Xenopus tropicalis: one gene and its partner. The protein of the gene in region 2 purifies or fractionates together with the protein of the main gene of each other region. This does not show direct contact. Links are inferred from orthologs where the notes say so. Each region holds a gene or a part of one and is shown on either strand. Other genes may lie near its edges.

Region 1 (3,821 bases), on a different chromosome or scaffold from region 2:
TGGGATTGACGTCTTACACACAAAGATACTGATAAATCAGCAAATACACTGAAAATAGCTTCAGTTCTGCAATGGCATGAACATTTTAAATACATATTTATGAACTTTAAAATGCCATTTCCCACAAGATCAATATGTACATTAGCTATATTTTGACTTAAACTGGTATTTTATAAATTGCTGATGTAAGAAATATGTGCCTGAGATCTGTGGGGAGTGAGCTGCAAAAGGATTACTGTAGATAGATGGTTTGTTAGCATTACTTCAGGAGACTGGAAAAAGATTATGCAAAGGCACATAGCAGCACACTGGCTTCTGCTATTTTGTGTTGCCCTTGCTGGAAGTGTTCATTGGGTTGCTGGATTGTTAGATACTGCAAGAACACAACGGAAAGGTCAGTAATCCAGCATTTGAATGCGTGCAATAGAAACAATGAAAACCCTTCACTGAAAAAAGGTAAGGACTTGGCTAATGTCTCAACAAATGGTGAACTGCCCAAACCACCCACGCTGTTAGCCATTGACTTTGTATGCCTGTACCAGCACTTACAGGCGGTTTCCATTAAAGTCAACAGGAGGAGTTACAGGCACCAACAGAAAGGAGAAATTACCTTGTGTGCCATCAGCCTAAAACTGACCACCAACAACATTAGGCTATGGAATTTGATATTCATCTTACCTGATCTTGAAGAGACATGACTGGATTATTTTTGGTTGTGTTTATGTGAAGTACATGGTATTTATTTTTTGCACACAGGTCGTAGGCAATATTTGTGAAGGAAGTGCTGGCAGTCTTTGGAACTCTGTTATAAATTATTAAAATATCTTCATCATCATCAAGCACAATTTCCTGCCGGGTGCCATCCATGGAATGCCGCTGCTCTATTTCTCGTACCTCATGACGTGCTATTGCCCTTTCTGAAATGTAAGCAGAGAAATAAAAGATGAACCTTAATAAATTCTTATGGTTGCCTGGTACAGGCAATTTTGGCTCATTAAGTTACCAGGAGCAGCTTTTTGCCACCCCTGGGACCTCGCTAGGCGCTGCCGCCTGAGGCTTCTCAACCCGCCTATGGCAGTAGTGCCCTTGATTTTGTACCATTTTAAAGCTGCCCATACACTTTGTTTGGCAACATCTTTGTCTGAACTGGTTATATATGTGATGGACCAAATCAGGATGATCTGATTGCTGGCCCGGGCCAACTACTGGATCATACTGTGGGCCCATGGAGATCTGTTGGCATCAATGTGGTCCTTGTCTTGGCCAGTATTGGTAGGGCATACACACACCGATATTATCGTACAAAAACCTTGTTACGTCAGATATTCCTTGCGTGTATGGCGGCTTGACAAGACCACCAATATCGCAAAGGCTGCGGATATCGGTTGTCTCAACGAACGGCCAGGTTAAAAATCTACGTTTAGGGCTGATTCGGCAGGTGGAGGTAGAATTTCTATTGTTTCTAACTCCATATCTGACGATTCAGCCCTGAACGTCAATGGAGGGTGGGAACGATCTTTCCAGCGACCGATGATGGCACAAAATATCGTTACTGCTACATGCATGGCCACCTTTATATGGACCAATAAGGTACTAAAATTGTCTGAGTCAACAGCTTTTATCAGCCTCGGTATAGCCAGCTTTACTGACAACACACTAATTGAAGGAAACTGTTCAACATGACAGAAATAAAAATATATATTCAGTATTGAAATTTCATTTTTTTGCAGTTTTTAAAAACTTAATTAAAAGAGCAAATTTTTAAAATATATCCTTTTATTTAGTTTCCATTTAAGTAAATGCAGGAAAACTCTAATCAGTTTTAAATCAGTTCAGTTTGTGTTATAATCCCAAACAGAGACTATAATTGAATTAAATAGGGTACTTGGGACAATATTTCTTGGCATAATTAAGTTACAACATTACATTACAATAAAGCGTTTTTAAACTCAGTGTTATGAGAATTTATTCTTGCTCTAAAGACTATATACCTTTATTAAGCTTCTGACAGAATAGCGCTCAATTAAAGTTCTGCTTTGCATTAAGCAACACAATAGTGAGACAAAGAATAAGTCAGTGCAGGAAAAGTGGCTAATTAGCTTTATTTGCCAACACTTGGCACAAACCCTGGAAGTTATTTTAGGCAGCTAGCTACATTTTGTTGTAAAGCATTTTTGTTACTAAAAAGTCAGATGACGTTTGCTAAATTGCACCCAGCTGAGCCACAACTATTCTGTCTGGTTATTAAACAGAATGTAAATGGTAAAACCCCTCAACAATAAAACACCTTGATTTTGGAGCCACACACTGTAATATGTGCTGAAAGCCACCTTTTGGGGACAGTGTTTAGTCTGCAAAACTATGTTCTATTCAAAGCAACAGTAACACAAAAACATGTTTTATAATTTGCAATTAACCCAGATATGCATATGACTATAACATCCCATCAAACCGGTTTTGTAAACTAACCAAAGACTACAATTGTATATATGTTCATCTACTTTATTTAGTTTTTTCTTTCTGTCTGAAATTGAAAATCTAAATAAAAATATATTGAAAAAAAATATCTGTTAATACTTAAAGGAGAACTATACCTATACCCCCAGGCTATAAAACTTATAGCTTAACTGGCCTGCCTCGACCCCCACCCTCACCTCTCCCTTTTCACATACTCTGTAACTTGCCCGAAAACTGCCCCTATCGCAAACCCCGACCTGAAAGAGCAGAGCAATGTATCAGCATACCTGGGCGCCATCTTCTGCTCAATCATAGAAGCTTCAGGTCTCGCCGCCGACACGGACTCTGCTTGAGCATGCGCAGTTGGGGCAATCAGGAAATCAACTGCAACTGCGCGTGCTCAAGCAGTCTTAAGGAGGAGTAAGCTTTGCCTGATATTATAGCAGTTTTGGGTTGAATTAAATATTAACTATTTTCAAGTTACTATGCCCAATTTAGAAAGAACAATAAAATAATATTTACAGAAGTGTGAAAGTTGCCACTGATTTAACTGGGGAGAACCATTATGCTTATAGGTCTATAGAACAGCCCCTGAAATGGACGAGTAATGGTACCAGTCATGAATATGTAAGTCTATGTAGACTGCTGCCCCAGCTAAGGCAAACAATGTTGCATATACAGTTCTACTGCCCATCGATGGAGAAGAAAAGGCATAATCATTGGGGGTCTCCAAAATGTTAGGCACCCCACAGGGATTATAACCTCCTAACTTTTCTCTCTATGGTCTGGATGCCCATGTGCAGTAGAGTAAATACAAACAGCTTTTCACTTTTACTCTGTATACAGTTATTATTATTAAGGAGGAAACACAGATAGAGACAGGAAGGCTAGTATTTTTTCACAAAAAGGGGGTAAACCCTAATTGCCAAGTAACAACACATGCTTCTTAAGAGGACCCAGCCCAGATAAAGATGGGCAGTTTGGGACAATTTTGAGTATGCTGTTTGACCATCTGGGCATGTATTATATCCTGCAAAATCCTCGCAGATCAAGGATTATCAGACCTGAGCCTAAGCTCTGCAGCTCATCTTCACTTCCTGCTGCTCAGGTAGTCTGCACAAATGGATGCAACATAATACAAAGGTAGGCTATTTTAACCCCAGTCCAATGGAAGTATTGTCCAGGTCATCCTTTGTATGGCTACCTTAAAGGAGAAGGTAAAAACTAAGTAAGCTTTATCAGAAAGGTCTATGTAAATACAGCCCTAAGCACTCATAGAAATGCTGTGTTGAGTCCTCTATCAAAAGAAACACAGGATTCCTTGTCTTCTTTTTTGTAAACATGTTGTTGGAGTGTCTGACTTC
Region 2 (4,620 bases):
TTATTAAAGGGCGGAGGACATGGGCATCACCAATCGAGGACACTCACTTACAGAGCCTTTAGTAGAACAGCCAATCAGGGAACAAATAAAACCTCCCCCAATAAAACCTAACAGGGGTTTAACCATGAGGCTAAAAAACCACCCACATCCTAATTGCTGCTTTGATTCCCCATGTTGCCAAGTATGGAGTAAGACCACTCCTGCTTGTTGGCTTGAGTACGGGGCAAAAATAAGGGGCGTGCCAACGGGCATCTGCCTGGCAACCTGGTTGATTTAAACACAAACTACACAGGGCCACTGATGCAGTTCTCTACATAGGGGCAATTAATATCCAATTACTGGCCTGTGGGCCAAATCTGTGATAATTATATGCCTGTATGGCTATCAGTAGGCTAATGTCAAACTAGGAATATCTATTTGGGCAATGTCAGACGCAGTGCTCTGTCACCTGAGGGAGATCTCACGTGGGCAAGAAAGAATCTGAAAAAAACCATTAATTCAGATAAATGAAGATTGTTGCACTTTACTACTTACGGAGTGGCCAGATTTTATCAGCCAAAGGTCCACCAGACAGGTCAAGTGAAGACACAAGGAGCTACTTAGGTGCAGCAGCTACAAATGCCAGATAATACCTTGCCATAGACAGTACTAAGAACTGCCTCTCCCAAAACACATGTAGAGACAATTATCAGTAAATGATCAGCTTTGTCTATTTTTGTAGCCACGACAAGTAAGAGGTGATAGATGGGCTTGTGCATCAGAGCTTGCAATCTACAGCAGAAAGGAGAGTGCTGGTGAGCAGCTACTAAACACAAAGTACACCAAACTGGCCTAAAGACACTGAATTTTATCACCTAAAAGGGATTATTTTCTTTCTTTTGAAGATTTTTTTAGTAATGAGTCCCACATAATGCAATTTTTAGGCTGCCCTATCTCGTGGGTTGGGTCTAGTAGCTAGGGACGTAGTCACATTCTCTATTCCAGGGCAGTCCAAGTGCCAAGTAACAGCTGTAGGAAAAGTGTGGGCCTCAAAAGGATTTTTATGGCCCCCAGAAGGAAAGATGGGGGTGTCCATTGGACCATTCATGTCAGGCAGTCAGGGCACATTACTCTGTAAGCACCATATCCCCTACAGCAAAGAGGCAGAACTTGCTGCCCTTCATATTTAGCAATTACACCCATTACCCCCCCAAAAAAAAACTCCAGTTGCTCCTTCCATAGTGCTTTAGCTTGGTGATGGGATTCTGGGACCTGGCCCATCCCTGCCCTACGTGTCCCACGTTACACAGCAGTGTCATTAAATATTTATGAGTAGCCATTAACTAACCATTCTGGAAGCAACAGAAATGGGCCAATAGAAAGTCCCATGTTAATGCCATAAAGTGCTCGTACACCCCCTTGTTCAACACGAGCTTTAAGGGATACTGTCGTGAGTAATTCACTCTGCCATTTAAAATTTTAATCTTAAACCAACAAATGTATTTTTTTAGCTGTAATATTGGTGTGTAGGCGCATCTCAGTACATTGTGCCTGAGTCTGAGCTTTCAGAAGGAGCCAGCGCTACACATTAGACCTGCTTTCAGGTAACCTATTGTTTCTCCTACTCCCATGTAACTGGAGGAGTCCCAAGCCGGACTTGGATTTCTTACTATTGAGTGCTATTCTGATACCTACTGGGAACTGCTTTCTTGCTCCCTTCCCATTGTTCTGCTGATCGGCTGCTGGGAGGGGGGGCATATCATTCCAACTTGCAGCGCAGCGGTAAAGTGAGACTAAAGTTAATAAGAGCACAGGTCACATGGCTGTGGCACCCTGGGAAATGAAGAATATGGCTAGCCCCATGTGAAAATTCAAAATTAAATATAAAAAATATGTTTGTGTTTTGAAAAGCAGATTTCAACGCAGGATTCTGCTGGAGAAGCTCTATTAACTGATGAGTTTTGCAGAAAAAAAAAATCATGTTTTCCCATTGCAGTATTCCTTTAATGAACAGAGTTTGAATTAAACATATTTCTATTTTCATTATGAAAAATATGTTTCATTGTAGAGCTAAAAAGAGCAGATAATTCAAAGAGACTCCATGTAGGTATCTCCCATCCCACCCCATTACTGACGCAAGTAAGGGAACACCCCTATGGCCACAGGGCACCAAGGAGCCCTATCATAACTGCTGCCTTATAAAAAAAAAAAACTAAAAATATATATTTTTAAATTAAAGACCAGGCAAAATGTATTTTCAGCATAAGTCCTACTCATTTAGCCTGTGCGTATCCATACAATACACTGTAACAGCAAATGTTTCACACACACACACACACATACGTATATATATATATATTTTTTTTTTATCATATACAAATATCATTAGCTGTGGCACACAGTCCCAGCATCCCCCGTAGAACTGTAGCAGACCCCACATGACTGGGGCACATGGAGGGGCGGAGCCAGTAGCCAAGAGGCAGCGCTATTGCATCATGCCATGTGGGGAGGTATATTTGTGCCCATAACACGGCTGGTACCGGCAATAATTATTACTATTATCATTTCATGCCTCAGGGCGGCGCAGGGTCGCCATTATAAGTACATTCATACACATTGTGAAGCGACAGCAGTGAGTGAGTAGCGAGCAGGCAGCGAGAGAAGGCGGGACAGCAGCTGTCATTACCTTTGTGGAGCGGAAAATGTGACGCGGTGGGGGGGGTCACGATGGGCTCTCGGAAAATACCGAACTCCTCCTGCACTTGGTACAGCCTTTCTCTCAACCGTGACAGTGCCTTCCGCTCCGGAATAGATTACTCACAGCTCCGGCTCTCTCCCCGGCTTGCTTGGAGCAGGTACCGCTACACGTCACTGAGGGGGCGGGGCTAGGACTGACAGAGCCTTACATGGGCGCCCCTTCTCACACGTGACCTTGACATACGCCGCTCCCATTGGCCGGAGCGGGAGTAGTAAGGCTGGGAGCTGCGGTGCATGATTGGTACCTCACAGAGCCTTATTACTTCATTATCCGCCCGTTCAGGCTCAGGCAGGCTCTCTAGAGTTGTAATAAACCAATATTTACTAGACGTCTGCAATTAAACACTTTGTGGAGGGTGCCCCTTTTCTGTATAAAACTGAAACAGAGCCAGGGTAGTTATTATTCACGTTGCCATCGTTCCTACAGTTGTTGGCTCAAAGTGTACGTGGGGTTTGTGCTGCCAGGTCTAACTTTCAAAAACAAGCAAAAGAGTAAAGGCAAAATCCTTCCCAAACCCTATGGGGATATATATCTGGGCATATCTAAAGTGTATAGCCCCCCCCCCCCCAGAGGAAGAGAATAAAGACTGAGAGAGCTGAGGAATGATGACAGTTCTAGAGTAAAGGGAAAACATGGCAGCAAGAATGAGTTGACATAAAGAAAGGGTGACAGCTGAGCCTGGGGTTAGCTCCCAACTGTCCTGTTCTCAGCCTGCAGTCCTGGATTCTTACTGAAAAATCCTTCATTTCCCTTTGAGCTCCTGCACCAAAAAAGATACAACATTTCTCAAATGTAATTACATAAGGAGGCTTTTGGCAGAGCACCAATTATAACTAATGACATCATTAAGAATTATACATTCATTTCTATAATATACACAAGAGCCACTGATGTATTTATATATGGGCAGCCAAGTGCCTGTGCCTAGGGTGGCAGATTTTGGGGGGCGGCCTTCGGGTACCTATATAAAAATGCACTCAGGCATCACAGATTTCCATAAGTGAGGGTAAGGGGGTCAGGTTGCCCATCACTTTAATGATGTAGGTGCATGTGATGTTACTTATGCGCCAAACGGTGTATTTAGGTCCGGTGCCTAGGGTGGCAAAGGCCCTAAATACAGCCCTGACTATCCTGTAAACTATATCCTAATAAACTGTGCTTAGTGATCATTAGTTATTATCGATGCTGAGTGATGTAATTTCTGTCATGACTCATTGAAACTTGTGTATTATAATAAATGCTGCACCCCCTGTTGTAAAATATGAGAATATTATAAGTAAACTCGGAGTTCCATATAGTCATGAAACTCTTTGGTAACTTATAATATCCATATATATTACAATAGGGGGTGCAGCATTCACTATATATACACACGTAAGGCTGAACATTTCACTCCTGACTGTATTTTATATACTATTTTATTCAATTGGCTCCGATGAGTATGTAAAGGGAATATTACAAGCTGCCTCTCAGCCACACAATAAAGCCAATATAAATTTGACGTTTCAGTAAAAAACAAAAGCCGAAGACAAGAGGGACATGTGCAGCCAACAAGGACAGGGACACTGTGAGCCTATCTCCCAGTCTGGCAAATATTTTGCCTTGAATCTCCGATTGGAAGTTATCAGCGCTGGGGCGTTACACAACATTGCATTTGAGTAAGGAGAATAGGAACCAAACAGAATATGTATGTTTGATGAAATAACAGGCGGTGTGTTTATATTTCTGATTTGCCTACGAAACAGCCAGTGTCCCTGGAACCGTATCACTGTTCAAAAATGTGTTTGGCACTTGACTGAAATATTCACAGCATGAAACCTGCACGCCTGTCTAGCACATAGAGCTCTAACGAGTATTCATTTATTATGTGTATAATCTCCAGC

What was found.
Region 1: the proteins of slc7a1 (region 2) and hs2st1 purify together in Homo sapiens (co-immunoprecipitation; 3 studies listed by BioGRID and IntAct, counting the BioPlex papers as one, with this or other methods). This does not show direct contact. The link is inferred for Xenopus tropicalis from reciprocal best matches to the Homo sapiens genes SLC7A1 and HS2ST1.

Annotation. Positions count from the first base shown.
Region 1 is NC_030680.2:106,512,412-106,516,232, forward strand, and holds part of hs2st1 (heparan sulfate 2-O-sulfotransferase 1), read right to left. Parts: intron 918-3,821; coding exon 679-917; intron 1-678. UniProt on the Homo sapiens protein: Catalyzes the transfer of a sulfo group from 3'-phospho-5'-adenylyl sulfate (PAPS) to the 2-OH position of iduronic acid (IdoA) or glucuronic acid (GlcA) within the heparan sulfate (HS) chain and participates in HS biosynthesis.
Region 2 is NC_030678.2:154,474,480-154,479,099, reverse strand, and holds the start of slc7a1 (high affinity cationic amino acid transporter 1), read right to left. Parts: upstream 2,873-4,620; 5' UTR 2,666-2,872; intron 1-2,665. UniProt on the Homo sapiens protein: High-affinity, low capacity permease involved in the transport of the cationic amino acids (arginine, lysine and ornithine) in non-hepatic tissues.